Linked DNA regions of Callithrix jacchus. The protein of the gene in region 1 interacts with the protein of each later gene in a pairwise test. Links are inferred from orthologs where the notes say so. Each region holds a gene or a part of one and is shown on either strand. Other genes may lie near its edges.

Evidence for each region.
Region 2: the proteins of TACC3 (region 1) and KIZ interact in binary tests that used the Homo sapiens proteins (3 or more experiments, as listed by UniProt). The two-hybrid records come from large-scale screens. The link is inferred for Callithrix jacchus from reciprocal best matches to the Homo sapiens genes TACC3 and KIZ.

The regions. Positions count from the first base shown.
Region 1 is NC_133504.1:191,399,423-191,415,643, reverse strand, and holds the end of TACC3 (transforming acidic coiled-coil-containing protein 3), read left to right. Parts: intron 1-2,369; coding exon 2,370-2,422; intron 2,423-2,766; coding exon 2,767-2,870; intron 2,871-3,924; coding exon 3,925-4,015; intron 4,016-4,230; coding exon 4,231-4,335; intron 4,336-5,368; coding exon 5,369-5,445; intron 5,446-5,533; coding exon 5,534-5,577; intron 5,578-7,844; coding exon 7,845-8,005; coding exon of another isoform or gene 8,006-8,173; exon of another isoform or gene 8,174-9,380; intron 9,381-9,819; coding exon 9,820-9,926; exon of another isoform or gene 9,927-9,932; intron 9,933-10,010; coding exon 10,011-10,131; intron 10,132-10,229; coding exon 10,230-10,295; 3' UTR 10,296-10,418; downstream 10,419-16,221. UniProt on the Homo sapiens protein: Plays a role in the microtubule-dependent coupling of the nucleus and the centrosome. Involved in the processes that regulate centrosome-mediated interkinetic nuclear migration (INM) of neural progenitors.
Region 2 is NC_133506.1:28,234,056-28,249,743, forward strand, and holds part of KIZ (centrosomal protein kizuna), read left to right. Parts: intron 1-551; coding exon 552-645; intron 646-8,406; coding exon 8,407-8,572; intron 8,573-9,413; coding exon 9,414-9,479; intron 9,480-15,688. UniProt on the Homo sapiens protein: Centrosomal protein required for establishing a robust mitotic centrosome architecture that can endure the forces that converge on the centrosomes during spindle formation. Required for stabilizing the expanded pericentriolar material around the centriole.

The DNA.
Region 1 (16,221 bases):
AGGAGGGTCCGGTGTCCGCAGCCTCAGCAGCGCTGTGTGTTGTGTCTTGTGGATCCTGGACCTCCTCGTGGGTAGGAAGCAGGCCTAGTGGTGGTTTTAATCTGCGGTTTCCGGGTGGCTCACGACATCCAAGCGTCTTTTTGCGTGCTGTTGGATATCTTTGAGAAAATGTCTGCTGAGATTCCTTGCCCATTGGGCCACTTATCTTTTCATTACTGAGTTTTATGAGATAAATTCCTTTCACTTAAGAAATGAAGAAAAGGAAAAAAAAAGCCCCTCATCAGATAATGTTTGAAAGTACTAGCTTTTGGCCAGGCACAGGGGCCCGCACTTGTGGTCCCAGCATTTGGGAGGCCAAGGCAGGAGGATCGTAAGACTGACCTTGGCAACATGGCAAGACCAGATCTCTACCCGAAAAAGACGTAAGGAGCTGGGCATGGTGGCACACGCCTGTAGTCCCAGCTACATGGGAGGCTGAGGTGGGAGGCACGATTGAGCCAGGAGGTCCAGGCTGCGGTGAGCCGTGATGGCACCACTGCACTCCAGTCTGGGTGACAGTGAGACCCTGTTTGAAGGAAAGGGGAAAACAGGGGCAGAAGTGAAAACTGACAACAAAGCTATCTGTAGCAGAGAAGACCTACAAGTCTTTTCTAGACCAAATAATTGGCAACCGTTTTTTAGCTTAGTTGAAAAAAGGAAAGAATGAGCAAAGAAATACTACTAGGTGTGAAGAGAGGGACAGAACTAGAGATACCCCGGCCTGGATCTCAGCCAGAGGGAGACCCGGCCTTTTTTTTAATGAGACAAGAGTTTCGCTCTTTGTTGCCCAGGCAGGAGCACAGTTTAAGCAATCCTCCTGCCCCAGCCTCCTGAGTAGCAGGGATTACAGGTGCGTGCCACTCGCTCAGCTCATTTATTTTGGGCTAATTTTTGTTTCTCGTAGAGACAGGTTTCACCATGCTGGCCAGGCTGGTCTCAAACTCCTGAGCTCAGGTGATCCACCCTCCTTGGCCTCCCAAAGTTCTGGGATTGCAGGCACGAGCCACTGTGCCCGGCCAAAGTTTAAGACTTTTAGAGGCTGATGCTAGAGGATTGCTTTTAGCTAGGTCAAGACAGCCCTGGCAATGTAGCAAGACTCCTCCACTACCAAAAAAACTAGTATGTCTGAGATAGTTTTCGCCTTCAGTTAGGTTTTTTATCCACTTTTGAGTTCATCTTTGTATATGGTATGAGGCACTTTTTTTTTTTTTTTTTTTTTTTTTTTTTTGAGATGGAGTTTGTCTCTTGTTGCCCAGGCTGGAGTGCAGTGGTGCGACTTCTGCTGGCTGTGACCTCTGCCTCCCGGGTTCAAGCAATTCTCCTGCCTCAGCCTCCCAAGAAGCTGGGATTACAGGCACACACCACCATGCTCAGCTAATTTTTTGTATTTTTAGTAGAGATGGGGTTTCTCCATGTTGGCCAGGCTGGTCTTGATCTCCCAACAGCCTCAGATGATCCACCCACCTCAGCCTCCCAAAATGCTGGGATTACAGGTGTGTGCACCACCTCGCCTGGCTAATTTTTGTATTTTTTGTGGAGACAAGGTTTTGCCCTGTTAGACTCCTAGGCTCAGGTGATCTGCCCGCCTCAGCCTCTACCCTTAGGGGATTTTGTTATCATTGCTTTGCTTTTTTAAAGGAGTCTTGCTCTGTCACCACGCTGGAGTGCAGTGGTGCAATCTCAGCTCACTGCAGCGTTTGCCTCCCGGATTCAAGCAAGTCCCCTGCCTCAGCCTCCCGAGCAGTTGGGGCTACAGGCATGAGCCACCACACCTGATTTTTGTATTTTTAATAGAGACAGTTTCACCACATTGGTCAGGCTGGTCTCGAACTCCTGACCTCAGGTGATCTGCCTGCCTCAGCCTCCCACAGTGCTGGGATTACAGGCGTGAGCCACCACACCTGGCCCACTCTTAACGTTTTTTTAACCAAAGGTTATATTATCAAAAATTAAAAGATTTGTCTAGGGTAATCTTAAAGACTAGAATTGTTTCAACCAGAGCAGTTTTGCCCCCTCCTTCCCCTAGATGCTTTGGTTGTCATACCTGGGGGTGCTGCTGGCACGGAGTGGGTGGGGGCTGGGGATGCTGCATGGCACCCTGCAGTGCCCAGGACACACCTGCCAGTGAGCAGTCAGGCCTGGAACACGGGCACCTCCGAGGAGGAAGTCCTCCTGTGCTGCAGAGGACCTTGGCCTGGGTCTCAATGAGACACTGCTGGCTGGAATGCTGCTTTATTCGATAAGGAACCATGGTCCTGCCTCACTGAGTCCGTTAGCCCTTGGGGCCCTGGTGTGGGGCGGTGACAGTGCTGTGACTTGTGCCCTCTCAGTTCTAGGCACAGGGGCAGAGGTGGATTACCTGGAGCAGTTTGGAGCTTCCTCGGTAGGTACTGGGCAGCTCTGCGAAGCCTCCCCTGCAGGGTGTGCTGAGGGCAGCCCCGACAGCTCTTCACCCTGGAACGTCCCCTGGTGCCCATGTTCCCCCAGCTGCACATGGGCCCTGGCCCTTCTGCTGCATCTCTAAGTGGAGTCCTATGGTTGTGGCCAGGCCCTCCCCCAGCACTTGCCTGGGATGAACTCTGACACCGTGCTGCTAGGAATGCAGGGCTTCGGGTGGGGTTGCGGTGACCGGAGGTGGGAGTATGTGTGTGACCTCCCTGGCCCTAGCCCCAACGTCTGTGCTAGGGGATGGCAGTCAGACCTGCTCAGTTGCCCTCTTGTCCCCAGTTTAAGGAGTCGGCCTTGAGGAAGCAGTCCTTATACCTCAAGTTTGACCCTCTCCTGAAGGACAGTCCTCAAAGACCAGGGCCCGTGGCCACAGAGACCAGCAGGTACGCAAGCCAGCCCTCCCCGGGCATGAAGTCTTGGGTGTAGGGGGACGGGAGGCTGTTCCTATGTGTGCTGTCTGCAGAGGCTTCTAGACCAGGGTGAGATGACCTGAACTAGAAAAGAGGCGTGGTGAGGAGCGGGCAGGGCGGCGAGCCCAGAGCAGCAGCCTCGTGTGGCAGGGGCCACATCAGCCCAGTGGGAGTGACAGCAGCCGCCCTCCAGTCACAGAGCTACTGCCTTGCTGGTTACAGCCACCTGCCAGGTGGATTAAAGAGCTAAACTTAAATGTTTTTAATGTAGCTCCTCTAAAGCAGAAGTCAGCAAACGATGACCTGTAGGCCAGACTTGGCACCTGTTTGTGTACATAAAGTTGTCACAGAACCATGCCCATCCCTTTGAAAATTGTGGCAACTTTCACACTACAAGGGCAGAACCAAGTAGTATGACAGAGGCCTGACACGGCCTGGCCAGTGGCTCACACCGGTAATCCCAGCACTCTGAGGCCGAGGCAGGCAGATCACAAGGCCAGGATTTCAGCACCAGTCCGGCCAACATGGTGAATCCCCATCTCTACTAAAAATACAAAACTTAGCTGAGCACGGTGACGGGTGCCTGTAGTCCCAGCTACTCGGGAGGCTGAGGCAGGAAGATTGCTTGAGCCTGGGAGGCGGAGGTTGCAGTGAGCCGAGATCACGCCATTGCACTCCCATCTGGGCGACAGAGTGAGACCCTGTCTCAAACAAAAAGAAAATGAGCCTCCAAGCTGTGAGGGCCCCCAGATGAGGCATCAGCGGCCCCACTCAGCCTGCAGTGGGTAAGGAAGCATCACAGCTCTCCAGAAGGATGATCCGCCTTGTGGATGGGGACGTGAGGGAAGGGCTTGGGGCAGCAGAGAGACCGGGCCTGCTGGACGTGGGCCTGCGTTTTCTGCCACCGTCCTGACTTGAGTGGTTTAAACTAAAAAGCAAAGAGCCCGGTTGGCTTGTCCGCATGGTCCTCTGTGTCCTGCTCAACACTGGGAGGGCCTGAGTGACCGAGGCTGCCTCCACTTGGCAGCAGCACGCACGGTGTGGAGGAGCCTCCCTCAGGAAGTCCGCGGGAAGCCACCCTTGTGGAGTTGGATTTCTTGGGAGCACTGGATGCTCCGGTAAGTACTTCAGTCCCTCTTGAACCATCCACCTTGTGGTCTGAGGAGGCAGGTTGTTTTAGGGCCTATATTTCCTATTCCTGGGGGTCTGAAGTCTTTGGCTCTGTCATGGGTCCCCCACTGCACTGTCTGAGGCTCTTCCCTCCCTCACACCAGGTCAGAGGTACGAGAGGCAAGGGTGAAATGGGCTCATGGTTCATCCCCATCTCCCACAGGTTCCAGACCCACCCCCAGGTGTCCCTGCACCTGGCGGCCCACCCCTGTCCACCGGGCCTATAGTGGACCTGCTGCAGTACAGCCAGAAGGACCTGGACACGGCGGTAAGGACACAGGTGGTGGCTACTCCACAGAACCTGCAGGCCACTCGGGCTTGGCCAACAGCAGGCACAGGTGGGGTCCAGTGGCCTGACCAGCTGTCCCCGCCATCCCTGCCCCTGCTGGTTGGGGTGGCATTGCAGAGAGCTGCTGACCCCTGGCCTGTCACTGCTGCCCAGGTCACTGAGGCTCCAAGCTTCCACCCAGTGTCCCCACAGCCAGCTGCCCACCGGCTGCCTCCACAGGGCTCTCCAGCCTGAGCGTGTCATTCACCCCAGCAACCTCTCGCTGCGTTAAAGCTGAGTGCTGCCCCTTCCTGCTGCCCTTCCACAAGTCCAGACGCATCTCTGGGCAGCTTAGGAAGCGCCATCTCCACCCGCCCACATCTGAGGGTCCCCTGCCCGTCTCCCTCTATCCTCCCATACACGCCAGGCTTCAGCCCGTCCTAACTCCAGGTCTAAGTTGTCCCTACGAGAGCTGTGGGCACCACTGTGAGCCAGATAATCCCTGGGGAGGTGGGGACAGGGTGGCTCCGGACGCTGGCGGCAGGGCTGGGCACGAGCCCCCACATCTGAACCAGTGTCGGTCACGGCAACCCCAGGTGTCATCTTGGGCCTGTGACACGATCCTGACCCGGTTCCCCAACACCCCCTTCCTGGTGTTGGAGCCCATGCCGTAACCCCAGAGCAGGCTTAAGGACCACAGCGTGGCCAGCCCTCCCCTCTGCGGGCCTGGGCTCCCCATGCAGGTGGCCCCTGGGGGGTGGACGCAGGGACACACACCCGCTGGGCGCCTGCTGGTTCTACCCAGGAGCACAGCCCACAGCCCCATGCCTCCTGCCCCCTGGCGACTGAGCACATGTGGAGCAGGCAGCCTTAGCGTCAGTGGGGCTCCCAGGGTCCCGCTGAAGGCCCACATGGAACTGCGGCTCTGGACATTGCTCCAGGGACGTCGGGGTGGGCCGGCCCCACGCTGTGGGGAGGTCCTGGGAGGGGTGTCCAGCCCGCCTGCCTGCTGACTCAGGTGTGGCCTGAGCAGGTGAAGGCGGCACAGGAGGAGAACCAGGAGCTGAGGAGCAGGTGTGAGGAGCTCCAGAGGAAGAACGTGGAGCTGGGGTAAGGAGGCCCCGCCTGCCCCTGTCCCCACCCGGCCTGGGGCTGCGGCGCATCTGAGGCCATGGATGTGTCTGCTCGCCTCCCACAGGGTGATCATGGACAGGTTCGAGGAGGTCACATACCAGGTCATGGGTAAGTGCCAGGCCACCGAGGACATGAGGGGCTGCCTGCACCTCAGCCATGCCCTGCCCCGCACGCTGCCTAGGGCCCCACTCTCCTGAGGCCACTCTTCCTAACCCACAAGGCCCTTCAACATGGCCCAGCCATGGAACCACGAGGCAAGCTGGGGGGAAGCTGGCGGTCGGTCAGTGCAGCTCACGGATCCACAGAGCCAGCCTTCCTCAGACCCCAAATCTGTGCAGATGCTGAGCTAGCAGCAGGGCTGGGGTGGGGGCAGATGCCACCCCACACCTGCTCACACCTGTTGCCCTCCTCTCCTCCTGGAGGCTCACACCTGCTGCCCTCCCCTCCTCCTGGAGGCTCACACCTGCTGCCCTCCCCTCCTCCTGGAGGCTCACACCTGCTGCCCTCCCCTCCTCCTGGAGGCTCACACCTGCTGCCCTCCCCTCCTCCTGGAGGCTCACACCTGCTGCCCTCCCCTCCTCCTGGAGGCTCACACCTGCTGCCCTCCCCTCCTCCTGGAGGCTCACACCTGCTGCCCTCCCCTCCTCCTGGAGGCTCACACCTGCTGCCCTCCCCTCCTCCTGGAGGCTCACACCTGCTGCCCTCCCCTCCTCCTGGAGGCTCACACCTGCTGCCCTCCCCTCCTCCTGGAGGCTCACACCTGCTGCCCTCCCCTCCTCCTGGAGGCTCACACCTGCTGCCCTCCCCTCCTCCTGGAGGCTCACACCTGCTGCCCTCCCCTCCTCCTGGAGGCTCACACCTGCTGCCCTCCCCTCCTCCTGGAGGCTCACACCTGCTGCCCTCCCCTCCTCCTGGAGGCTCACACCTGCTGCCCTCCCCTCCTCCTGGAGGCTCACACCTGCTGCCCTCCCCTCCTCCTGGAGGCTCACACCTGCTGCCCTCCCCTCCTCCTGGAGGCTCACACCTGCTGCCCTCCCCTCCTCCTGGAGGCTCACACCTGCTGCCCTCCCCTCCTCCTGGAGGCTCACACCGCTTCCCCCTCCTCCTGTCCTGGAGGCTCACACCGCTTCCCCCTCCTCCTGTCCTGGAGGCTCACACCTGCTGCCCTCCTCTCCTCCTGGAGGCTCACACCTGCTGCCCTCCCCTCCTCCTGGAGGCTCACACCTGCTGCCCTCCCCTCCTCCTGGAGGCTCACACCGCTTCCCCCTCCTCCTGGAGGCTCACACCTGCCGCCCTCCTCTCCTCCTGGAGGCTCACACCTGCCGCCCTCCTCTCCTCCTGGAGGCTCACACCTGCCGCCCTCCCCTCCTCCTGGAGGCTCACACCTGCCGCCCTCCCCTCCTCCTGGAGGCTCACACCTGCCGCCCTCCCCTCCTCCTGGAGGCTCACACCTGCCGCCCTCCCCTCCTCCTGGAGGCTCACACCCGCCGCCCTCCCCTCCTCCTGGAGGCTCACACCCGCCGCCCTCCTCTCCTGGAGGCTCACACCCGCCGCCCTCCTCTCCTGGAGGCTCACACCCGCCTCCCTCCTCTCCTCCTGGAGGCTCACACCCGCCGCCCTCCTCTCCTGGAGGCTCACACCCGCCGCCCTCCTCTCCTCCTGGAGGCTCACACCCGCCTCCCTCCTCTCCTCCTGGAGGCTCACACCCGCCGCCCTCCTCTCCTGGAGGCTCACACCCGCCGCCCTCCTCTCCTGGAGGCTCACACCCGCCTCCCTCCTCTCCTCCTGGAGGCTCACACCTGCCGCCCTCCTCTCCTCCTGGAGGCTCACACCCGCCTCCCTCCTCTCCTCCTGGAGGCTCACACCTGTTGCCCTCCTCTCCTGGAGGCTCACACCCGCCTCCCCCTCCTCCTCTCCTGGAGGCTCACACCCGCCTCCCCCTCCTCCTCTCCTGGAGGCTCACACCCGCCTCCCCCTCCTCTCCTGGAGGCTCACACCCGCCTCCCCCTCCTCTCCTGGAGGCTCACACCCGCCTCCCCCTCCTCTCATGGAGGCTCACACCGCTTCCCCCTCCTCCTCTCCTGGAGGCTCACACCGCTTCCCCCTCCTCCTCTCCTGGAGGCTCACACCGCTTCCCCCTCCTCCTCTCCTGGAGGCTCACACCGCTTCCCCCTCCTCCTCTCCTGGAGGCTCACACCCGCCTCCCCCTCCTCTCCTGGAGGCTCACACCCGCCTCCCCCTCCTGTCCTGGAGGCTCACACCGCCTCCCCCTCCTCCTGTCCTGGCACTGGAGCCCCTTGCCGCATTCCTGGGGCTGTGTTGGCACTCTGTGTTTCAGTCTCCGCCTCCTGAACGTTTGCTTTTCATTTCTCAAGAGGAGGTTCAGAAACAGAAGGAACTTGCCAAAGCCGACATCCAGAAAGTTCTACAAGAAAAAGACCAGCTGACTGCAGATCTGAACTCCATGGAGAAGTCCTTCTCTGACCTCTTCAAACGCTTTGAGAAACAGAAGGAGGTGATTGAGGGCTACCGCAAGGTACGTCCCCGCCACCCGGTGTCCTCCCCGCAGAGGCTGGCAGGCTCACGGGCCAGGCCAGCGGGGCTGCCAGGTGCTGTCTTTGCACCTCTGTTCTTGGCCGAGCCTCCCCTTGTCACTCGGGCCTGGGTAACTTGTGAAGACGCAGGTGCAGGAGTCACAGCCTAGCCGGTTTGCAGAAGGCCAGGTGAGCGGGAGGCCGTCTGAGTTCCTGCCGCCGTGTGAAGGATGACTTGGCTGTGACTGAGTGCCTGTGAGATGCGAGACTGCGTGGGTGCACCGGGGTATGGGGCATCTCGGAAAGGGAGTCAAGCCTGGGCTGTTACAGCGCGACCTGGGCATGTGTATCCCAGGCAGGAGGCCCACACAAAGGTGGGCACACTGTGCCAGGCTACCCCAGTGTCCTGGCCGCAGGCCTCTGAGCCCCCTCCGCCTTCTGTGCTGGGCAAGGCCCACAGGCTTGCTGGAAGGAGGGATGTCTGGGCCACCCATCTGCCCGGAGCAGACCTGGGAGGGGCTGCGAGGCCGCCAGACGCTTCTGCCCTCAGCAGCAGAGTTGGAGCGGAGGTGCTCACCGCCTGCTGTCAGGAGCTGGGCCTGTGGGCACACCTGGAAGAGGGGCTGACAGTGGGGCTGCAAGGGGTTGGGGATGCCAGATGGGGGCCCTGGAAGTTGAACTCGGCTAGAACAGGGGCCCTTGTGGGGCCTGGCTGAGCCACACCTTCTCTCAGTCCTGATGTCAGGTAGGCGCCAGTGGCCGGGGCACAGCTGCCTAAGAGAAGCAGCCTGGAAAACTAGGAAAGAACCTACGGAAAACCACATCTTCCACCTTCAATTGCTGCTACAGAGTTTTAGATCAGTATCTGGCACAGAATCACTAGGTATGAAAGAAACAGGAAAGGTGATTGAAGATCAGAACCAGCTATTAGGGTGAGGCATGGTGATGTATGCCTGTGGTCCCAGCGACTCAGGAGGCTGAGGTGGGAGGACCACTTGGCCCAGGAGGCCGAGGCTGCAGTGAGCTGTGATTAGATCCCTTCACTCCAGCCTGGGCAATAGACCCAGACCCCCGTGTCTAAAATAAAATAAAAAAAAAAAATGTTTAGACCCACGGGATTCCCAGGCGTTGGAGCTGGCGGCAGAGTGCCCACCGCAGGGGTGGGCCCCTCACATGGTGCCACTGGCTTGAGGACACAGCAGCTTCACTGGCCTTCCCTCAGCTTGGGCTGTGCTCCGAGCTGCTGTCCTGGCCTCGCCTCTCCCCGGGGCAGGCCTGCGCCTCCATTCCCGCCGGCCACCTCCCCACTTTCTCATGGAGGCCTCTTTGTACATCTAAACCCATCATGGAGGACCCAGTGCAGACTCAGACTTGAAGGTAACTGTCTTCCATGTTCAGAAGAGCATTGCCGGGCTCGCTTCGGCGCATAGAAGAAAATCGGGGCCGGGCGCGGTGGCTCACGCCTGTAATCCCAGCACTTTGGGGGGCCGAGGCGGGTGGATCACAAGGTCAAGAGATCGAGACCATCCTGGTGGGCACGCGCCACTGTGCCCAGCTAATTTTTTGTATTTTTAGTAGAGACGGGGTTTCACCTTGTTGACCAGGGTGGTCTTGATATCTTGACCTCGTGATCCACCCCCGGCCTCCCAAAGTACTGGGATTACAAGCGTGAGCCACCGTGCCCTGCGAGGGGATATTTTTAAAGGAAAACTGGAGGTGCTGCCTCATGACTGGTGACCCACAGGTCCCTGGACACCAAGCCTGGGTGCTCTCGCAGATCATGTGGTGCCCACAGCTAATGCCTGCCCCTTCCTAGAATGAAGAGTCACTAAAGAAGTGTGCAGAGGATTACCTGGTGAGGGTCACCCAGGCAGGCCAGAGGTACCAGGCCCTGAAGGCCCACGCCGAGGAGAAGCTGCAGCTGTGAGTGTTGGGCCCACAGAGGGAAGAGTCTGGGCACCTGGGCCCAGCTCAGCTTCTGCCCTGCCCCTGCTCCTCCTCCTCCAGGGCAAACGAGGAGATCGCCCAGGTCCGGAGCAAGGCCCAGGCGGAAGCATTGGCCCTCCAGGCCAGCCTGAGGAAGGAGCAGATGCGGGTCCAGTCACTGGAGAGGACCGTGGAGGAGAAGGTGGGTGCGGGGAGCCTGGCCCATGGGGCCCTGTGGCAGCAGCTTCTGGAAGGCCCCTGGGCCTGCTGCTCCCTCCCTAACTCATCTTCCTCCTCCAGACTAAAGAGAATGAGGAGCTGACCAGGATCTGTGACGACCTCATCTCCAAGATGGCGAAGATCTGACCCAGAGCTGCAGCCCCTCCTGTCTGTCCGTCTGTCCAGTTCTTTTAGGTGTCGTTTTCTTGTTCTGTCTAAAGCTAGATTGCTTTGAAAAGATGACTAAATAAAGTTTCCTTTTGGTGTAAACTGAAGCTGCTCTGGTCTCAGTGAAGCAAAGGGTTCTCTGCTCGGCCTCAGGCAGGGACCGCCAGTGGCTGGAGGCGGCTCAGGCCTGCCCAGTCTACCCCTGCCAACTTGGGTCAGCCACACAGTTCTGGCATCAAGTGCACCCATCAGTCCAGACAGACAAAAACCGTGAACAGCCAGGCGTGTGTGATGCTGGAGCCGCCCTGGAGAGCCTCAGCCCCAGCTAGCTGCGCCTCACCTCGGTGTGGGTGCGGAGGGAGGCCCCTGCGGTGCAGCCGCTCAGCTCCCATCAGCCTTCAGAGCAAAGCCGGCTTCCCTGAGGAAGTCCCGTCTCCAGATGGCAGGGTTTCCTCCCCAACCCCCAGCCCCATCTCCAGCAGCCCCGTCCTGCAGGTCTCACACTTGCACAGGTGCACTGGAGCTCAGGCCACTTCCAGGAGCCCTGGCAGAGTCTCCGCCCAGCTGGGGAACCCCAGGAACTCTGGGCACAGAGCTGAGAGATGCTGGCTGCCAGGTTCAGCCATGGCACCTAGGACCCTAGCACGAACCAGAGGGCCAGGACCTCCTAGGGCTGGGTGGGACTGAGAGTGACCGGCAGCTGGTGGTGCTGCTGTGTCAGAAATCCCCACACAGAGGGACTCAGGCCTACATCTGGCTGCAGGAGTGTCTGAGCCCGGGGGTCCCAGTCCCAGGACCTGTTCCCAAGGCTCTGTAAGCTGCCCTGTAGGCCTGGTGAGCAGCAGCCCAGGACTGGCCCTCGGTTGGGCACAACATCACTCCCAGCCACCGCCAGGGGTCGCTGCCACCACAGACCACGCAGGGACCGGACCAGGTGAGTGACACTCTGGAGGGCGGGGCCGGGGTGCTGGGAAGCCACGTGGACCGCCAGGGAGGCTGAGGAGCAGGCGGGGCTTCAGCCTGGGTGGCCACTGGGGTGTCCCCCGGGTGGGGAGGTGGGTTCTTGCATATTTGGAGGAGGGACCCTGGCACAGGGACAGAAGGCCACAGCAGCAATGGCCAGGCATGGCTGGGGCACAGACTGGATGGGCCTCAGAGGGCTCTGGGAGCCATTCCTCTCTCCCGCCATGGCCACCCATGCTCATGCAGCACCTCCTGACGGCCTCATGGGACCATCGCACCCCTCCTCTCCCCAGCAGGGACCCCCCCCATCTCAGCCCTGAGCCTGGGTGACGATAGGGGGCAGTCCTTGGCTGAGAGCCTCTGAGGGCCTGCCACGGCCACTGCACAGACAAGACACTGAGGCACAGGCCAGTGACCATTGGCTGGGGGAGGTGGGCCAAGCACAGGGTGAGGTTCCCTCTCCTGCTCAGGGCTGAGGATATGGGGGAGCAGCAGGGCCCTGGAGCCTCCAGAGGTCACCAGCTGCCTCCCCACTGCCACAGGCACGTCCGGCCTCAGGGCTCCCAGCTCCCTCTGCAGGGTCAGGTCTGCTCTGCTGAGGTCTCAGGACACGGGGCAGCTGCCAGGTCCTCCTCAGCCCTGCCGCTCTGGCCTCCTGGCTCCTCCGACAGCTGCCCAGGGCCCTGTCCCCCACTGGGGCCTCTCTGAGCCAAGCCTGGAGCCTGCTCTGAGAAGGCCATGTGGGGCAGCTGGACGTGTCGGGGCAGCCGGCCGGGCCTGGGGCTGCGCCGAGGACACCGGCCACCGGGCAGCGTCCTGGGCTGGGAGCCTCTTTCCCAGGACAAAGGGGCCTTGTGTGGCTGAATGGGTGTTTATCCTGGAGCCTGAGTTAACTCAGGGCTGCGAGGCCGGGTGGGGGCCCTGGCAGTGGCCTGCCTGGTAAACATGACCTGAGCTGGGCATGCAGCCGTGGCCTGGACTTCCGCAGCCCGGACCCCTGCACGGCCACGAAGTCGCCCTGTGGGCCTTCCGCCAGGACGGGGGCTCAAGGAAACAGGAGCTGCCCTGGGATGGCCTCTGTGGGAGTCCTCATGCACAGTCCTGGAGGCAGCGCTCAGCTGGCTCTGCCCTTCCCACAGCTCAGGGCAGGGCTCAGAATCACTCCCAATGTGCCCCACTGAAGGGAGGGGTGAGGGTTAGGTGAGGTTGTGAGGGTGAGGCCCTGGTCTGCTGGGATTAGTGTCCTTTCGGGAAGAAGGCGGACCGGGACAGTACTTTGGAGGCACCGACCCGCCAGCACCCTGATCACGGACCTGGCACTTCCAGAACGTGGAGAAACGCGTGTCTGTGGTGCAAGCCGGCTGGTCTCAGGCAGGACGAGACCCCGTCATCCAAGGGGCTGCCCAGCCTGATGCCCACCCACTGCCCAGCTGCCCCTGCAGCCAATATCCGAATCCCAAGGGCAGAGCAGGGTTCAGCCCCACGTGGAGAAGCCAGGTCTGTGAAGCACCCCCGCCCCTCTATCCCTAGGAGTAGAGTCCGCAGCTACCTCCCTGGGCTGGTCAAGATCCTTTCAACAGGGTCGGTGGAGCCGCATCGCCAAGCTGACTCCCACGCTCCCGCTCCCCAGGGCTCGCAGGCCACGGGGCTAGATGGAAGAGAGGGTGGGCGGAGAAGGAGATAGGTCAGGACAGGCTGAGCACAGCCCGAGCGTTCCCTGCCAGGTCCTCGCTGTGGCCATCACCCTGCCCTGGCCAACCTGAGTACACCAGCCCCCAGGCAGACTCAGGTCACCCTCCCATGGGCTAGGGGGCTGTCCCCAGTCCAGGCTGAACCCCAGACCCCTCTAGGTCCCTCAAGGTCCACGGCAGTGAGGGTCACTACAAGCCCAAGTGGGTGCCAGAGGTCCCTCCTCCAGCCCATCACTCCACCTTCTGGGAAGGACGCCAGGGTCGGCACTCAAGCCCAGGCTCCGGGCTGCCCTACTGGGCTGAGCAAATGTCCTTTGTCTCTCTTCTGGAGGTCTGCAGGGCAGGAGCACTTTGGGGGAAAGCCCTGTCCCCACAGGGCTGGGGCTGGACGAAGTCGGAGGAGGGCTTCTGCCTGAGCCTGGGCCTTCTTTGGGGTGCACTCAAGTAGCAGGGTTCTCACCGCCTGTGCGGTGGTTGGAGGGGTTGAACCTGTGTGCCCTGGCTGCCCCGGTGGTCTGGGGAGCCCAACTCCTGGGGCTTCTGCCTGAGCCTCTGGGCCCCAGCAGCCTGCAGGGGGTGCCATTGGGCCACCGGAGCCCCTCCTGTGGACCTGGCGCAACAGCGCTCAGGCCCAGCCATCCCCACCGCCCCACGACCGGCCTCCAGGAGGGACCCCCACCCTGGGACGACGAGGAGCCACCTGGGCCTCCACCTGGCCTCCCCACAGGGTCTCCCCACTTGCCCCCTCCCCACCTCCTCCCTCCCCACCAGCCCCTCGCAACCAGCCTCCTCCCCACCTTGCCCCCTCCCCACCTGCACCCTCCTTACCTGCACCCTCCCCACTGTGCCCCCTGCCCACCATGCCCCCTTCCTACCAACCCCCTCCCCACCTCCTCCCCACTAGCCCCCTCCCCACTAGCCCTCCCTGCTGCTTTACCGCCCCTCTGTCCCCTGGACCCTGTGCACTCATCAGGCCCCTGGAGGTTTATGGAGGGCAGGGCTGGGGGCAGCACACCAGGCACCCTCACAGGCTGGGGATCTGGCCTAGCCTGGTAGGCGGACTGTAGGATGGGGGGTGAGGGCTTAGAGCCCCTGCTGGCGTCGGGGGTGGTGGGGCCCCTGCCCTGTGTCCCCTCTGTCCCCAAACCCCATTACACGTAAGGCCCCACCTGGCTGAGCTCACAGGGGGCTCCGGAGCCCACTCTGCAGAGAGAGAGGAGGGGGCGGGGGTGCACTTGTGTTTGCTTCTGAGGGAGACCGGGCTGAGCAGGGCTGTTAGTGAGACACTCAGGCCCGGGGGCTCCGGGCTCCCATGTGGGCCAGGGGCTACCTCAGCTCAGGAGTGGTGGCCCAACCACTAGGTGTGCAAAGGTCCCATGTCCATCCACACTTAAGAGACCTGGAATGTGAAAGGCACTCAGGCAGAGCCACGGTGTGGGCACCATCCTCAAGGGGGTGTCTGCAGAGGTGCACCGGTGTGGGCAGAGCCGGGGTGACCGTGAGCCCAAGGGGTTCCCAGAGGGAGTTTCTTTCCAGCCTGGGGATGGGTCCAGGGCAGTGCTGAGGAGGCCAAGCTGCCAGCATCCTATAGGGCCCAGCAGCAGAGGGGAGTGCGAATGGCTGGGCTTGTGCCCAGGACCCACCCCTGCCCCTGCATGCCCAGCAGCTGAGGCCACACCTCGCCTCGAGCATCCTGACAGCAGGGCCCACTTGGTGCCAGGCAGTCCCAGCTGGGGTGGGGTAGGGGCCATACAGCTGGCCCTGGGTAGATCTTCATCCCGACCCCCCACACCCACCCTGGAGCCATGTCTCCATCTGCCAAGGTGGGGGGAGAGAGAGAGAGGAGGGGGCAGAGCCCTGAGATTCAAAGGTTTCCCCACACACAGTCATTTGTTCACACATCAAACGTGTGCTGAGCGCAGTCTGTTCCCTGCACTGTTCCAGGTCCTGGGCATGGCGGGACCGACCAGTTGCAACAGCTTGTGAGAATCTTCTGGCTTGGGGTGGGGTGGGGAGCGGCAGTGAGAAGAAATCAGAAAACACACAGGTGCAGGCACACACACCCACTCCATGGAGCCTGTCGGCTGGTGACAAGGCCACGGCGGCTTGGAGGGTGAGGAGAAGAGGGAGTGGGGGTCTGGGGTGGGTTCCAGGTGCTGCCCTGTGGCCAGAGGGGTCCTGCTGCTCCCGTCAGTGTTCTCCCCGGCCACACATGGGGGATCACCCACCTCTGTCATGCTCTGCACCAGGGCCCCGACAAGTTCAAGGCCGGAGCAACAGGGCGGTTGGCCTGGTGGAGCCGGTCCCAGGCCTGCTCAGCCCAAGTTCCCGTGGTGCAGGGCTGCGTCGGAACTGGCTCAGCTCACAGGAGCAGATGGGAGCTACATCCGTCCTTCGAGGCCAGTGGCTAGGCCAGCTCTGTGCTCACTCTAGGACCGAAAGTGGCCCTGTGCCCTCTCTGTCCTGGGCCCAGCAACCTTCAGGCTCTTCTGGACAAGGAAGGAGGCCTCATTACCCCCAGGGCCCACCCACAACCCCACCCCAGATGGACTGGAGCTGTCTGGTGGCTGGTCCTACGCCAGGCCTGGCAGCCCGGGCACCTAGTAGGCCCAGGGTGGGAGCACTTCGAACACACACCGCACTGGGGAGGACACGAGGAATGAGAAATATGCAGTTGAGCCGTGCACACCAAGCCACCGGCCCACAGGCTCACACCCACAGCACCGCCAGAGCAGACCCCAGACTGCAGGGACCCCCAGCCGTTCCTCCCTCCACCCAGCGCCATCCTTGCTGGGGATGCCCATCTGTATCCCCCTACCATGCCAGGCTTCCTGGCTCTCCAGGCCTGGAGGTTCGCACCTGTGTCCGCCAAGCAGGGAACTGCTCCCAGGTGAGTTCCCTTTCCCCACCCCCAACCTGTGCCTGGAGAAGCTGGGCCTCCCTGAGATCCACGCCCTAGAGCTCAAGGGCCTTTGTGACCCCCAACGCTGGCAATGAGGCACAGGCCCCAAAGCCATGCTTCTCACCCGCCTCTGTGGGGTCAGCACTCTGGACAACCCAGGACACCACGGAGGGCCTTCCTGGAGGTAGCAGCTCCTGACCTGGGCCCAGAGCAGGAGGGAGCGTGGCCAGGCTGGGCCCTCTCCTAGAGGAGGCTGGGAATTCTGGTTAGTGCCCGACCTGCCTCCCTCTCAGCTGTCAAGAGAGTCCACGGTGTTCCCCTGGAGGCTGCCCCTGGCCGGAGGGCAGCC
Region 2 (15,688 bases), on another chromosome or scaffold:
CACTGACCAGGCCAGGCGTGATGGCTCATGCCTATAATCTCAGCACTTTGGGAGGCCAAGGCAGGTGGATTGCTTGAGACTAGGAGTTTAAGACAAGCCTGGGCAAGATGGTGAAAGCCTGCCTCTACTAAAAATACAAAAGTTAGTCAGTTTCATAACCCAGTCTCTAAATAAATAAATAGCTTAAAATTTTTAAATAAAATTTTAAATAAAATTTTAAAAAAAATCCCATTGGCCAGGCCACACCCCAGTCCAATTTTCCTAGACTCTATAGGGGTGGCATCAGGCACCCAGATTGTGCAAAGCTCCCCAGGTTGTTCTATGTGCAGCAAAAGTTGAGAATACTTATTTAGCAATGAAATAATAACCAAAGGTTTTAAAAGTTTAAAGAAAAAAAGATACTTGGACTCAAACTCCCTTAGTCCAGAATATGTTGAGTTCCAGACTTTTCTGGATAAACTGTGTTCTACTAACATAATTGAGGCCTTTAAAAATGTGGGAATCTTATAATATTACAAGTCTATAGTGAGTGTCCTGTTTCTGTTTTATAGACCTGGACAAGCACCAGACTCAAGCAGACCGAGGACACAGGTGGGTCAGCATGTTGCCACCTTGAAAGAACAGGATAATTCTCTCAAAGAAGAGGTCAGTAGCTAAACTATCTGAAGTTTTCCCGATCACAGATGTGGACCAGAGGGCAAGTTTAGTAATTTTTATTTTTAAAAACCATATATCTCAAGATGTGCAAGTTACTCATTTGAGGAAATGTTATATTTGAAAAAAAAAAAAAAAAAAAACAGTAAGAAAAGTAGTAAGTGAGGTTTTGTGGTTGGACCTCAGGCCTTTTACATAATGTTTTATGTAGGAATTCATTTTCCAAGAACTATCGAGGCATCTATAAGATAACACTCGGGTTTTCCGTCTCCACGCCATACTTTAGAAATACTATCTAGTCATTCACGTCAATTCAGCAAATACGTATTGATCCATTACTGTACACAGATATCAGCCCAGATCCATCGGAGGGAAAGAGACAAATAAAATATGGCCCCTCCTTCTGGGGTCTGACATCATGGGATGCATATAACAAGAAAATGGCAAAAATAGGGGTTTCAGGAAAGAGAGCCAAGCTATGACTCTGAGAGAACCCTTAAATGACAGGTTTTTGATGGTATGAGTTGCATGGGGGCAGAAGCGACAAGAGAGGGTTGCCATGAGCCAAAGAACACACTGGGGAACCCAACACATAATTCAGGGGACATGGACATCCTGAGGCCGAAGCGTGGGCTCAAGTCTGGGGGTGGTAAGAAGGAGCACAAGAGGTAGTTTCTTGCCATGCTGTGCAGCATCCAGTGCCAGGCCACGGAGACTGTTGACTTTCGTACCTTTTGAAAAGTCACTGGAGCTTTTTGAACAGAGCTGTGATAGGATTTCTGCAGTTTCTTAGGGAATTTCATGTTTGGTTTGGGACTGAGACATTGAAGGAGAGAGCCCTGCAGCAGTGGTTCAGGGAAGAGGAAGGAGGGTCATGATTTGGGAGCTGGTGCCAAGAGAGAGTTTGAAGATGAACGGAAAATGGAAATGGATGGAGCAAGTTCCCAAGGAAATTCTGAAGGGAAGAACTAGAAACCCAAGTTTAGAGCATGTCCTTTGGCATATTCTGTCCTCATTCCCTAGAAAAGCCACACCCAGGGAAACAGCCTTTCTTCTCCTAGGTTGAACATCTGGGGAATATGTCTTGTTTCAAAGCATGTTTTTTCATCCTTATACATAATATAGAATTTTCTGGCTTTGATTCTTTTTAAGGTGTTTTAAAAACTATTATTACCATGCTCATAGTTCAAGGATTATATATCTGCACCTTCTGGAGACACACCTTGCTGCGTCTGTCCTAAAGTCACATGCCCACGTAGCTATGCTGTCTAAAGCCTCTAGAATTGCCCCTCCAGCCTTCGAGAGCACCTTTAGTCCTACTCAGACACCTCTTTCCTTGCCACTCCAATTAAGAGAGCAGCAGGACTTTTGTTTTTTAGCATTTCACACATACATATATTCAGTGATAGGACGGACCCACTAATCCCGTGCCCACAACCCAATTCACCTGTGTTGTTGTTACCATTGCACCGTATTTGTTTCAGACCCCCTTCTCATCATCCACCTTTACCTCATCTTCGAACCCCACTCCCTTTCTCCTCCTTGTGTCCTACCCCAACTTCACCCACCTTCTCTCTCTTCTGCTCTTTCTCTCTCCTCTCTCTTCTCCTCAAACTTCCTTCCCTTCCCCTTTGCTTTAGGGGGAAGAAATAAATTATTAAAAAGATAGATACAGCCCCCTGTATGCCTCTTACAGATTTCATGCCCCTTTTCAAAGATAACCTAGATCAATTCCTTCTCTGTTGATGAATGTGGGTCTTTTTTGTTGTTTGTTTTTTGAAGACAGAGTTTCGCTCTGTTGCCCAGTCTGGAGTGCAGTGATGATCTCGGCTCACTGCAACCTCCGCCTCCTGGGTCCAAGCGATTTTCCTGCCTCAGCCTCCCAAGTAGCTGGGACTACAGGCACATGCCACCATGGCAAGAGTATAAATTTTTTTTTAAATTTTCAGTAGAGACAGGGTTTCACCATGTTGGCCAGGCTGGTCTCAAACTCCTGACGTCAGGTGATCTGCCTCCCCCGGCCTCCCAAAGTGCTGGGATTACAGGTGTGAGCTACCATGCCCGGCTGATGAACGTAGATCTTAAGAAAGATATTGTTTGGGTTTTATTGTTCCTTTGATTTAGCACTGTCTTATAACACCATTATTTTTTATACTTGTTCACTGCAAGTATATCACATCTCAGGCATTTTAAGGGTAAAATAAGTGTTGATTGGCGTCTTTTACTATCTAATCTTTTTTTAAAAATGGTATTGTTTATATTAGAAAACATGGTCCAAGTCCCAATCAATCAATCCACTCGTAATTTTTCCAATAATGGGAGGGGGTGCTGTCCAACTAATAACTAATGAAACAAATTATATTCTGCCTCCATAATAGATCTTTGTTGGTTTTTAAATCATTGTGATCTTTAATGATCACAATGTGATTGTCACTTTAGTGACAATCATAAAAATTACCAATGCATTAATGACAAAATCTAGCCTTAAAAATGGAAGTAAACTGGTAATTTCTCGTACAGTTAGGATGTGGTTGAAGAAATGCACAGCCCCAAGAACAATATTAACAAAATGATACAAGCAGGGCAGGTTTGTGAACCTAAGGATCAAATGCTTTGTAAGTCCTAGAACTGTTTTGGTTTACATGTCATTCTTTTTCAATTAGTGAAATAAAGTGTCTTTGAGTTGTTTCTGTGTATTGAAACCATGTACACATTTAGTAAATGCTAGGGTTAAATCTCTCTCTTTAGATAAAATCTTAAAAGTAAGTGATTTTCAAAGTTTAAAAAAGCTCTACTAGAAACTCCTTAGCTAAGAGTCTAATGAAGCTCAGAAATACTTTTTTTGATCTCTTGGGTAAATGGCTAATTAAAAAGCCGCATGTAAATGATGTTTACCTGTGGGTCCCTGTGCTGTCAGCGAGTCAATCCCTTCTCTTGAGTAAATACATCATCAAAGCCGTAGAAACTCAGATTATGTCCCCAGGAGACCAGATAAGGTCCACAGTGCCCGCATAACCCATTAGGCAATTACATAATTGAGCTGCATGCTTTTAAATCAGAAAAATTTGTAATTACTTTTTGTGGAGAAAAAATGAGTTGGGTGTTTCATTAAAATACAAAATGCCTTAATATTACTTTTCTCCCAATGGATATCTGTTTCCACTCTGGAGAACTTTGTCACAGCAGAGCAACTTGCTGGTGACACTCATAGAGTAGATCGGGTCCTGCCCTCACCATACACACAGACCAGTTTTATTCACCAGGAAGATGCTTTCCCCAAATGCTGGACTGTTTTCTTGTTCTTATCTCCTGCATACTTATTTGCTAGGTCATATAAATATCTTCCCAATTTAAAAAAATTGCTACACAGATAAAATCCCTTCATTCCCTTTAACTTAGAACTTAAGTAATGATGCTTGCACTTTTCTTTAAAGACCAAGGAATTACTTCCAGTGTCCAAAAGGAATGTTCTTGAACCTCAAGGAAGAGTCAGCTAAATCTGCATATTAGGGGAAAATATCTGCTGTCCACATGCATGATTTTTAATTATTTTACTTTTCTGTGTCTGTATTAGTAACACTGGTTTGCACATAGAAGGGAATTTCATTTTATCAGGTGCATTTGCATTCATTTTCTCTTTGTATTGGTACCATGAATAGCAGAAATTGGATTTCTTTAGAGCTAGCATATGTTTTTTTTTTTAAAAACAAGCATTAAAAAATCTTGAAATAGTAAGGTAAACAAAAAGAAGAAAACTGGTCATGATCCCACTATTCTGCTATTTATATATAACCCTGTTAACATTATGATGTGTGGTTTTTAATATTTAATATATTTATTTGGGAGGCCAAGATGGGTGGATCACCTGAGGTCAGGAGTTCGAGACCAGCCTGGGCAACATGGCAAAACTCCATCTCTACTAAAAATAGAAAAATTAGTATGATGGCACGCACCTGTAATCCCAGCTATTTGGGAGGCTGAGGCACAAGAATTGCTTAAACTTGGGAGGCGGAGGTTACAGTGAGCCGAGATTGTGCCACTATACTCTAGCCTAGATGACAGAGTGAAACTCCGTCTCAAGAAAAAAAAAAATTCAGTATGTTGAAAAACATAGGTTGCATTATTTGTACACATCACCTTGTTTTGTTTATCCCCATATGCTGCAAGGTGAATTCTTTCATACCATTACCTGTTCTATTTACATCATTTCAAATGGCTTTCTAGAGGTCTACTGTCACTTCAGTCATTTACCTGTTGTTCAACATTTTCTAATTTTTCCTCTAGTAAAAAAGTTTCCAAGAGTATCTGTGCAATTCAGATTTTACAGATATCTATAATATTTCCTTAGAATGAATTCCTAGATGTAGAATTATTAGGTCAAAAGGTGGGTATATCTTTCAGGGTTTTGCTATGCATAGCCAGATCTCACTCTAGAAGGGTCATCAGAGTTACCAGGAATGGATGAATAAATCATTTCTCTGAGTTCTTTATGAAATTGTATACTATCAACTTTTTTTTTAGGGGCACCAATTTGAGAGATGAAAATGACATCCAATTTTTTTGTTGTTCATTTGACCTTTTTATTACAATTGAGGTCAAACTTTTTCTCTACCTATTTATTAGCTATTTGTAGTTCTTTTTTCATAATCTGCCAGCTCATGTTCTTTGCTCATTTTTCCATTAGGTTAGTAATATGTTTTCTTATTGACTTGCAAAAACTTTTAACATATAAATTTGGACATTTTGTTGCAATATTTTTAGCAGTTTAATTTCTGTCATTTTTCTTAATGGTGTTTTGGACACAATGTCGTTTCCATTAATATCTTCATCTGTCTGTCTGTATGTTTGAATATCACAACCATTCAATTTTTGGATATAATTTAAGAGTCAGCCTAGATGATTCTTGGGGTTCTAGACATAGCAAGATTAATACTTAAACTGAACATGGAGGAAAATTCTGGTAGAACTGAGCTAATAATTAAAGGAATAGCACTGTAGGTATAATTCATTGAACGATTTATCTGCCATAATGTCTGAAATATGGAGGTATCAACATCAGTCATTCCACAAGTAGTGTGTGCCCTGACATTTAATTTCCAAGCCCTTTCTCCTGACTCCTGGGAAGGCTGAAAAGTGAGAGGGTGGTTTGTTGGTATTGACTTAGGCTTTGGACTGCTGAGAACAGTGAAACAATCTCTGGTTATCTCTTCTGGGCTCCGAATGTACATGATTCAAAGAGAGCCTTTATTAGTAACAGGTAAGTTGAAACCCATGCATTGGTCATTCATAAGCACTATCAGAAAGCCTGTGGTAAAATTGTTGTCTGGTGATATTTTTTCAGAGAATTAGCACCAATTTGCAGAACTCATTGAGTCCCAGCATGAAATTTAGTAAAGCAACCTGTTAACTCTTCTCTGAGCTTCCCTGTGGGTTAGTGTCATCAGTCTCAGATTGTAATCTCCTTCATATTGGAGGTTTCCTTAGAAATGTACTTTTCTGGAACATCTGCAAACAGTACATCTTGAGAATGTGTTACAGATGTTTTCCTGACTGCAGAAGTTGTTTTTGCCAGGCGCAGTGGCTCACATCTATAATCCCAGCACTTTGGGAGGTCAAGGAGCACAGATCACCTGAAGACAGTAGTTCGAGACCAGCCTGACCAACATGGTGAAACCCCGTGTCTACTAAAATTACAAAAATTAGCCTGCTGTGGTGGCACACGCCTGTAATCCCAGCTACTTGGGAGGCTGAGGCACAAGAATCACTTGAACCTGGGAGGTAGAGGTTGTAGTGAGCTGCAATCACACCACTGCACTCCAGCCTGGGCGAGAAATGAGAGTCCGTCTCAAAAAGAAGTTGTTTTCGACTAAAAATCTATGACCTATTCTTGTCTATCCTTGTCTGAGGCTACTTTTGTCTTTGTCCCTGCTTATCATCTTTGATGAATTATCTATAGAATTATCTTAAAAGATATGTTCTTTTATAAACATTTCTATCAAAAAAGTAACAGAAATCCTGGAGATAAGTATTGAGTAGTAAAGATAAATGGGATAAAATACAGATAGTCCCAGACTTCCAGTGGTTCAACTTACAACTTTTTGATTTCACAGTGGTGTGAAAGTGATAGGCATTCAGTGGAAACCATACTGCAAATACCCATACAGCAATTATATCTTTCATTTTTAGTATAGTATCCAACAAATTCCATGTGAAAATCAACATTTTATAATAAAATAGGCTTTGTCTTACCCATCTGTAGGCTAATGTGAGTGTTCTGAGCAGTTTAAGTTAGGCAGAACTTAAACTATGATGTTCAGAAGGTTAGGTGTGTTAAATACGTTTCCAGCTTACCGTTTTTTCAACTTGTGGTGGGTGTATTGGATGTGACTCCTTCATAAAGTCAAGGAGTGTCTGCATGCAAAGTAAACTAAACTAGCAGTGCAGTGTGCTCGCCACAGTGCTTACCTCACCATGGAGAAAGGGCTCAGTGTAGAACTGTTAGCAATGGCGGTATTCTTACCAAGCATACTGGGACTCATTGGAAAGGTGTTCATGGTAGATTCCAGAAGCAGGTACAGTGCAGTGGTCCTTGTAGGCAATTGGGAGGGGGGGCATTGATTGTAACCAGCCTTGGCCTAGGCTTCAAAGGCAGGACCCTATGCCTTCCCCTTAGTCTGCAGAAATGGGCATACTGAGCAGGTCATCCCAACAGAGTTATCACAGTGGAGTGAAATCCAGGGAGTAGTTTCTGGAAACAGAGGAAAAGCCCCTGGTCACTAGAACTGTACCACAGAAAGGTCCTGGCTGCAAGGCTAACTTGACACCAAGTTCTTTGGCCAAGGGGACTAGAACTCCTTAAATTCCCCTAATCAGCTGTTCTAGCTCCTAGGGTAGGCCATGGGTCCAGGAGGTCAGCCAGTCCTAGGGAGGGCAGAAGGCAAGAACTCTGCAGGGATGTCAGGACTAAAGGCAGTTGCCTTTTCTCCACCTCTAAATTTGGCTCTGATAAAAACCTGTGTCCTCACCCTTGCTCAGGACACATGATGTATGTAAGTAAGACAATGCCTTTGAAAACAGATAAGCAATGTGGTGGGAGAGTTCCCCCAGATCCCGCGCCAACTTAGAGGCAAAGTGCAGACCATGTTCGTACTTGATTGAAGATTGGGATTTAGAATGAGGCAGCTATCTTTGTGCTCAGTGCATCCTCTTCAGTTACAAATGTTTCTGCAGTCTTCTTGTTTAGGGGAAGTGTATGGGTCATTTTTAGGAGGATATGGATATTGCAAGGTCACATCTTTCCAGATCTCTTTCCCGGTTCAGAGTAATTCTGTCTGACATGCCTGGAAAATAGGATTCATGTAATGACAGAATAAATTTTTTCTTCAGAAAGGAGGTCTGAGGCTCTGCCATTTATATATATCAAAGGGAGGATAAACCTGCCCAGATTAACAGAGGTAGTCACATTTCATATGCATACTTCACAAGCAGAAAAACATTTCTGCATTATATAAGATTCAGCCCTCAAAAAGTGTATTATTGTGAGGGTAACTTGCAAGGAATTAGATTATAGTAGAAAATGACCAGGTGTTATTTATCTTGACATTTAAATTTTATTTAAATGTAGGAAACAAATTAAATCCTAAGTAAAGCTTAACATAAAATTATATTTGAAGGCTACGTCTTTGAGACCAAGGGAAATGTGGCTGCAGTTTTTTATTTCTTTGTGCTTTTTTTTTTTTTGAAATACTATAGGCAACAGCATTATTGAGAAACGCCCTTACAGAAGAGTGTGGCCATAGGTCAACTGTTCACAGTAGTGAATCATCTTGCAGCTTGTCATCTATTCTGAATGACAATAGTGGAGTGAAGGAAGCTAAACCTGCTGTATGGCTCCACAGTGTTCCTACAAGGGAACAAGGTAACTATTGTTAAAGTGTGTGTCCACAGCAAAAAGGCATTCAGGACCATCATCCTTCTCGAGGTATACCTATGGACTATCACTGACTAGAGAATACCTCTGATTTTAATATGCATAATATGTTATTTGTTTTATACCATCTTCCCTTTAGTCTAACAGGAATGGGAAATCTAACTGTAAGTCTGTAGTTCTAGTGACTTTCTAACAAAATAAGTATGAAGAAATTGGGAAATCTTAACAAAACTAATCACTTGGCAGTAGATAATTTTTTTCCCACAAAGATGAAGATGATTCCATAAAATACTGTGAAGTTTTTGATATCACTTAGTGGAATTTACTCATAATTGTAAACATACCTTTTAGTTGTAATAGAACCTTGTCAGTATCCAAACAGTTGATTAAGAATCAATGAATTTATGCCCCCAAAATTTACTAACCAGTTTTGAGTACCCAGAAACTGTTATTATTTTAGCATTACTGCTAAGACATGTGGTTTTCCAAGACAGCTATGAATTCCTCAGGAATTGCTCGAGTCGATGTAGAAGTGCAGGATGTGAGACTTGCTTATTTCATGTCTAACCCAGATTTGATAGATGTCAGGGCAAATTATTTTGCATGAAAGCAACATAGAGTACCTTTATTTAATTTTATTTTTAAATTTTCATTTATGAGATGCCTTAATTTTAGAATAGGTTTCCTTTTAGTAACAGTGTTATTTCAGACAAGAAATACATTAACAACAACAAAAAAAAGTGAACATGAAAGGAATGGCAATTAAACATCCAAAGGATCTATTTCTTAACTTTGAAATCATTTTTATTACTATACATCCAATTTTTAGAAGTTTCAAGTGGCTGTGGAGACAAGAACAAGAAAGAAAATGTGGCTGCAGATATCCCAATCACAGGTAAAGCTATGGCTATATAAGAGGTTCAAACACAGAATTTAGCATTGTTGTATAATCAGAACATTTTTGGTTAGTGATTTTTGGACCCCACGAAGAGCAAGTGTATTCAGCTACTGCGTGCTGGAGCAGGAGATCAGTCATAAGGGCAGAACGTAAATGCTTATGTTAACATAAACTAAGGTGGAAAATCACCGTGTCTGCTGAATTCTTCCTCACCGTGTTACGTATTTACATCTGTAACATCCACCAGCACGCACCCTTTGCACCTGCGTCTGTGTGAAACGGTCCATCTCCCTGGGGAACACCCAGTCATTACATAGCAAACTATAGATGTGTCTGATTTTACTCTTTTTTTTCCTGTTGTAATTGAATATGTATATTAAAATAAGAGCAGGAAATTAAGAAAAAAAATGCCAAATAGGAAGCTTGCGTTTGCCTCAGTTAAAAACCTGTCTGATAATTTAAAAGTTGTACCAATCAGGCTTCATCAAGACCTATTAAGATTTCTGCACATGTATTAGGCTTTTTTAGGTGGAATCTGAATGATATCATTATTTTTTTTCTTTTTAGAATATCAACAGCAGCAATTAGTATTCTGTACAGAGTTCTATTTGTCATAGTCTGAATTTACTAGTACCTTGTTTTGTAAAGTGGTGTACTACTTCATTATAAATTCAAAGGTCTGACTTTAAATATTTATACAAGTAAATACACCATTGCATCAAGGTACTGAGGCATGCATCTGCATATGTGGTAGTTTTGTTTTTGTTTGTAAGCAGAAAAGAATGATTTGCTTTTATGGCAGAGTGCAGTTCCTGGCATGATGATTAATTTTTTAAACTCATGTTCCTGTGATGAACTCTGGTTTTGAAAACGGAGTTTATGGAAGAACAATTATTGTACATATTATGCATCCAGATAATATTTCACTCCAAAATGCAGGTTTTTTATAATTTTAAACATTTTCCCCAATGATATGTTCATAGTGTTTTTAGTTTTCATTTTCAGAAAAATCTGATATGGGTCCCTGTTATTTTTATTAATAGAAATATAGATGATCCCAAACTACAGATAACCAAGAAGTCGTTTGGATGCTTTTCCCTTGCGTTTACCTTTGGATGCAGAAGTATCTAATGGCCTCTGGATTTATTTCAGTTAAAATTATAAAAGCTTGTTGAGGAGAAACCAGGAAATGACGTAGTTGTTCATTCTTTCTTCTCTTCTCACCATTCTTTACAATCATCCCTTGCTGGGAGTAGTTGACTCTCCCTAAAGGTAATGCAAATGTGTTTTCTCACAGACTTTCTTTGTAAGAAAACCGTTAGTTAAGTACCAGGGTTTCAAATCCTCCATTATGCAGAAAGATGTGCAGTATGCCTAGAAGCAACCTGGGCTATTTGCCATTAAGATTTTAAAAGAAATTGTAATTCTAACAACCTGCCATTGATTAATCAATAGTTGGCAGTTTTTAAAAAATGTGTTGTGCCTATTTTGTGCCAAAATATTAGACAAAAAGAAAACCTTTTGAAATAAAAAAAAAAAATTAGCAAAGCCATACACTTTGTTAAAGTGTTGCCGTTCTGTCCGTGCCAGTGCACTCTCCCCACCCCGGGACGTCCCATGACATTCATGTTTGAGGGCCTCATGCACCTTGGCACTGCTAATACTGTTGCTTTGTCCATCACTGTGGCTACTTTGGTCTCTGAGGTCCTGACTATCATCCCTTTATTAAACGTCTGTGACTGTGGGAGATTTGGCTCTCGGTCGAGTAAAGCGAGCACGTAGTTTACGGCGGAGTCCGCCTGCCTCTTTATACTAGTTCTGCTGGGGTTTCCTGTTTGGGCGGGTGCATGCTGGATGTGTATGTATGGGCTGCATTCCTTCTAGAATATTCCAAAGAAAAGAAATATTGCTGGGGGTTGAGGAAATGTAGCAGTTGGGCTGGGGCTTTGGAACGAGCCATCATTGTCAGCTCTTTTACTCCTTGCTCTGTTTCTCCACCCTCTCTGAGCCTCTGTATTGGGAAAGCAGACATACTGCCCAACAGAATTATCTTACAGTTTAAATGAAATCATTTGTGAAAGTGCCGAGCAGATACTAGACACTCAATTTTATCTGTGATGTAGGATAATATTCATGTGAACATGATTAGAGTTCTCGGTCTTCCGTGGCCCCCGCAATCCCCCGCATTTCCATGCCAGCTATGAGGAAGCCTCACACAGCAAACTGAAAGAGGAACAGAAGCAGAGAGTATGGGGGTGCAGCGTGACAGATGAACCCCCCCGCCCCAGAAGAGTGGACATTTCTAGTCTGTTCCTGTGGACCTGCATGCCTTCCCCGAGCTGTGGTAGCCACTTGGGACCAGGACCCACGCAGGCACAGCGCTGCTGCAGTACCTGCAAGACAGTACTTCCCGGTGGTCCTGCTATGTTAGTTTCTGCAAGAAATTGCCACTTGAGAACACAGTTGAGATTCAAATCCAGAAGGATGTTTACATTATCAAAAAGGAATCTCAAGGAGAGTTTGATGATACTTTCCAACTTCCAACTTCCACTTAGTCCCCTGAGGAAATCCGTTGAGAAAAATCCCAAACAGCTGCTGAAGTACTCCTGAAGATCTCATGAGTCAGGGCCCAGACATCTCTGCCTGGGGGTGCCTATGGGCCCTTGGTAACCCCTATGTACTCATAGTGGAAGACGTAGGGTATCAGGTGGAAGACCTCCCCTGATGAGTGTGCTGCCCCACAAGTATTGAGCTAATGCAGCATTTCCCGAAATGTGTTCTTTGCAATGCTCCACTCAGAAAATACATCAATTAACATATTTTGTTGTCAAGCCCTGTATGACCCTTCTCTCTCTCTGCAGTATGCATAATGCATAGAAGCATAGTGAAGACTTAGACGACTTTCAGCAAAGGAATTGTTTAAAAGTGTGATCCTAGAGTTTGAGATGACTTATGTTTTTGAAAATAGAACTCTTCCTAACATCCAACAGAATTAATGTTCTGTGGCGCATCCTTTGTAAAATATACACACATATATGTGGAACACTTTTTAAAGCAGTGAGTCCAGTGGGGGCACCAGTCTTCTCAATACACTAAAATTATCTTCAAAGTGTTCCTATGGTTTCATTTTGTGGGAAGCTCCTTTGTGGCTGAGATTGCTTTGTAGTGAGGTTTGGGGCTACTGTAGTGTAACTACACTCAGATGTTATGACTGACAGCTGCTCGTTACCGCTTCTCCTTGAATTGATGAGGAGGTTACGGTAGTAACTAACGTAACTAAAGGTGCCCAGAGGTGCCGTTCTTCAGTGTGGGGTCCTTCTGTGTGTCTTTACTTGCTTTTTAGCCATTTCAGAAGAAGTGTAAGAGAAGACGTGGCTGAGGTGAAATCTGGGAAGTCACAGGGGGTTGGGGTGGGAGGCTGTGAAGTCACCGTTATCAGAATGAGGGGGTCCTGGGGAGGTTTAACCTGGGAAGTAAGTGCACAGTAGCTCTTTAAATATTTGAGGAGCTGCCATATACCAGGCAGAATATTTATTGAGCTTAATTATAGAGAGTAGCTCAGTAACAAAACAACTTTCTAGCTCTTCATTTCAGCAAAACCAGGTTCAATACCTTCCAGATGTGAGTGCTTGAACCATGGCAAGAACCATGACTTTTTTTTTTTGGAACACTTTTTAAAGCAGTGAGTCCAGTGGGGGCACCAGTCTTCTCAATACTGGAGACAGGGTCAGGGTTTTGCTCTGTCGCCCAGGCTGAAGTGTATTGGTGTGATCACAGCTCATTATAGCCTCTATCTCCTGGGCTCAAGTGATCTTCCTTCCTCAGCCTCTCAAGTAGCTGGGACTGCAGGCATGCACCACCATGCCTGGATAATTTTGTATTTTTTATGGAGACGGGATTTCACCAGGCTGGTCTCAAACTCCCGAGCTCAAGCAGTCCGCCCGCCTTGGCCTCCCAAAGTTCTGGGATTATAGGCATGAGCTACCTTGCCTGGCCCTGTGACTTGCTAAAAGAGGCATTTTGGAAGGAATTCTTGTTTCTGTGACCCCTGACATCCATTCTAATGCCAAGGGACTGTGCTTCTTACTCTTTGCTAAATGGAATACAGTGTGCCAGCATTCTTGTGTCTTCATTTCCTTTCTCATTTGCTCATCACCCCAAATGGAGGTTATCTTGGCCGAGGGGCTCCTCCTTAAAGAGTCAGCTATCACTTTGAAGGCATCTGCCTTGTTAATCATTATTATGGAACATGTGAGTTTTCTGTGTTGAGATTTACATAGAAACTCTCCTGGTCACACACTGCTGCCCCAACTACACACATAAAGTCAGTATTCCATAGCCTGTATGATCTGTTGTTGTGAGTATAATCTACCCCTTTTATTAGTCTAGTTGTTGTTCACTAAAGAATCTGGTGGAAATCAAAGATGAATTTTTATGTCTCTAAATGTATGGTTTTCTGTATATAATTAATATATAATTAGATGTATTGATACATATGTTAGTTATAATCATATATAAAATCCTTAATTGTATTAATTAATATAATTAATACTTTTACTTGGGCTGAATCCTGGGATACCAGGGACCACAGAAGATGGGATCCCTGCCCTCGCTAAGCCTCCCTCATCTCTAAGCTTCACAACAGTCCTATAGGGTAAACATTATTACTGCCCTACAAGTGGTCAAACAGAAACTTAGAAAGGTGTCTGCTCAAGGCCGTGTAGTTAGTGTGATAGATTTTGAATTGAACTCAGACTTTGGGATTTGGGTCCCTGAACTTCTTCCATTTCACTACTCTACCTCTTTTATTTTATTTTATTTTATTTTATTTATTTATTTGTTTGTTTGTTTATTTATTTATTTATTTTTAGACAGAGCCTCACTCTGTCACCCAGGCTGGATTGTGGTGGCATGATTTCGGCTCACTGCAACCTCTGCCTCCTGGGTTTAAGCAATTCTTGTGCCGCAGCCTCCTGAGTAGCTGGAATTACAGGTGTGTTCCACCATGCCTGGCTAATTTTGTATTCTTAGTAGAGATGGTTTTGCCCTGTTGGCCAGGCTGATCTGGAACTCCTGGCCTCAAGAGATCCACCTATCTTGGTCTCCCAAACTGCTGGGATTACAGGCATGAGCCACCATGCCTAGCCTACCCTGCCTCTTTTATTTTACCAAAAAGACAACTGCATCAGGGTATGAGGACCAATTAAACATCAGCATACATTGTAACAGAAGATGAGCATTGCAAGGCTGCTTCTGAGAGCAAAGATAAACAAAGATTGCCTTTTCTTTCTCTTGGGTTAGGCCTGGAGAGGTGGTCAGCTTGCAAGGATTTTCAAACCGGCTTGTCCCAAGAGGTATGCCTTTTATAAAGTAGGACAAACCTGAGCCCAGGTGGGCTGTTGGGAAGTCAGTTTCCCTGAAACACTTCCTGACCTAATACTGTAGGTCAGTTTCCTGAAACACTCAGGCCATGAGAAAAGTGATACTTATCTAGATTGGGAGAGAAAGTCTGTCTTTTGAACTACTTATGCCTCCAAAGTGAAAACTCCCCACATGGACAATTTTGTTTGTATTCACACTAAATTTACCTTTCAGCATTAAGTGAGTTTTAGTTTCAGCAGATGCTGCGTCTATGCTAAATGTCATAAAAACCCAGCACCTAGCACAGTATCTGGCACAGAGTGGGCACTTAATTTGTCAAATGAATAAAAATAGGGCTATTAAGGAATTTTCTTGAATGCTTGTTAATTCAGGACAGAATACTATCTCTTTCCATCATTCACTCCACCAATACTTTTCCCACCCCATGTGCCCATCCTGGCTAAACTAGTCTCCTTAAGCTCCATGTGAAAAGGGCTCTCAGCTTTTATCTCAAGAAGATTAAGCCTCTAAGAATGTCCATTCAGCCTCTCATTCTTTTGACACCAATTCTCTTGGTCAAGCTGTGTTGAAAGTGGTTCCCTGACTGTGCCATTCCTCATAGATATTCTTTGGCAAGTGTAAATTTGCAAGGTAATGCTGAGACATCCATTTAGAATATTTCCAGTAGGTCAGCATAGATTTAGAGGGTGCCACTTGGAGTTCTAGGCAGTGCTTCTCAAAACACGATTGCATGAGTTTTACATCAATTTGGAAAGGGGCTGGAAAGATATAAGTGGCTAGGTTGTCACTGGTGACTTGATTTATCCTGAGAGGAAAGCACAGTG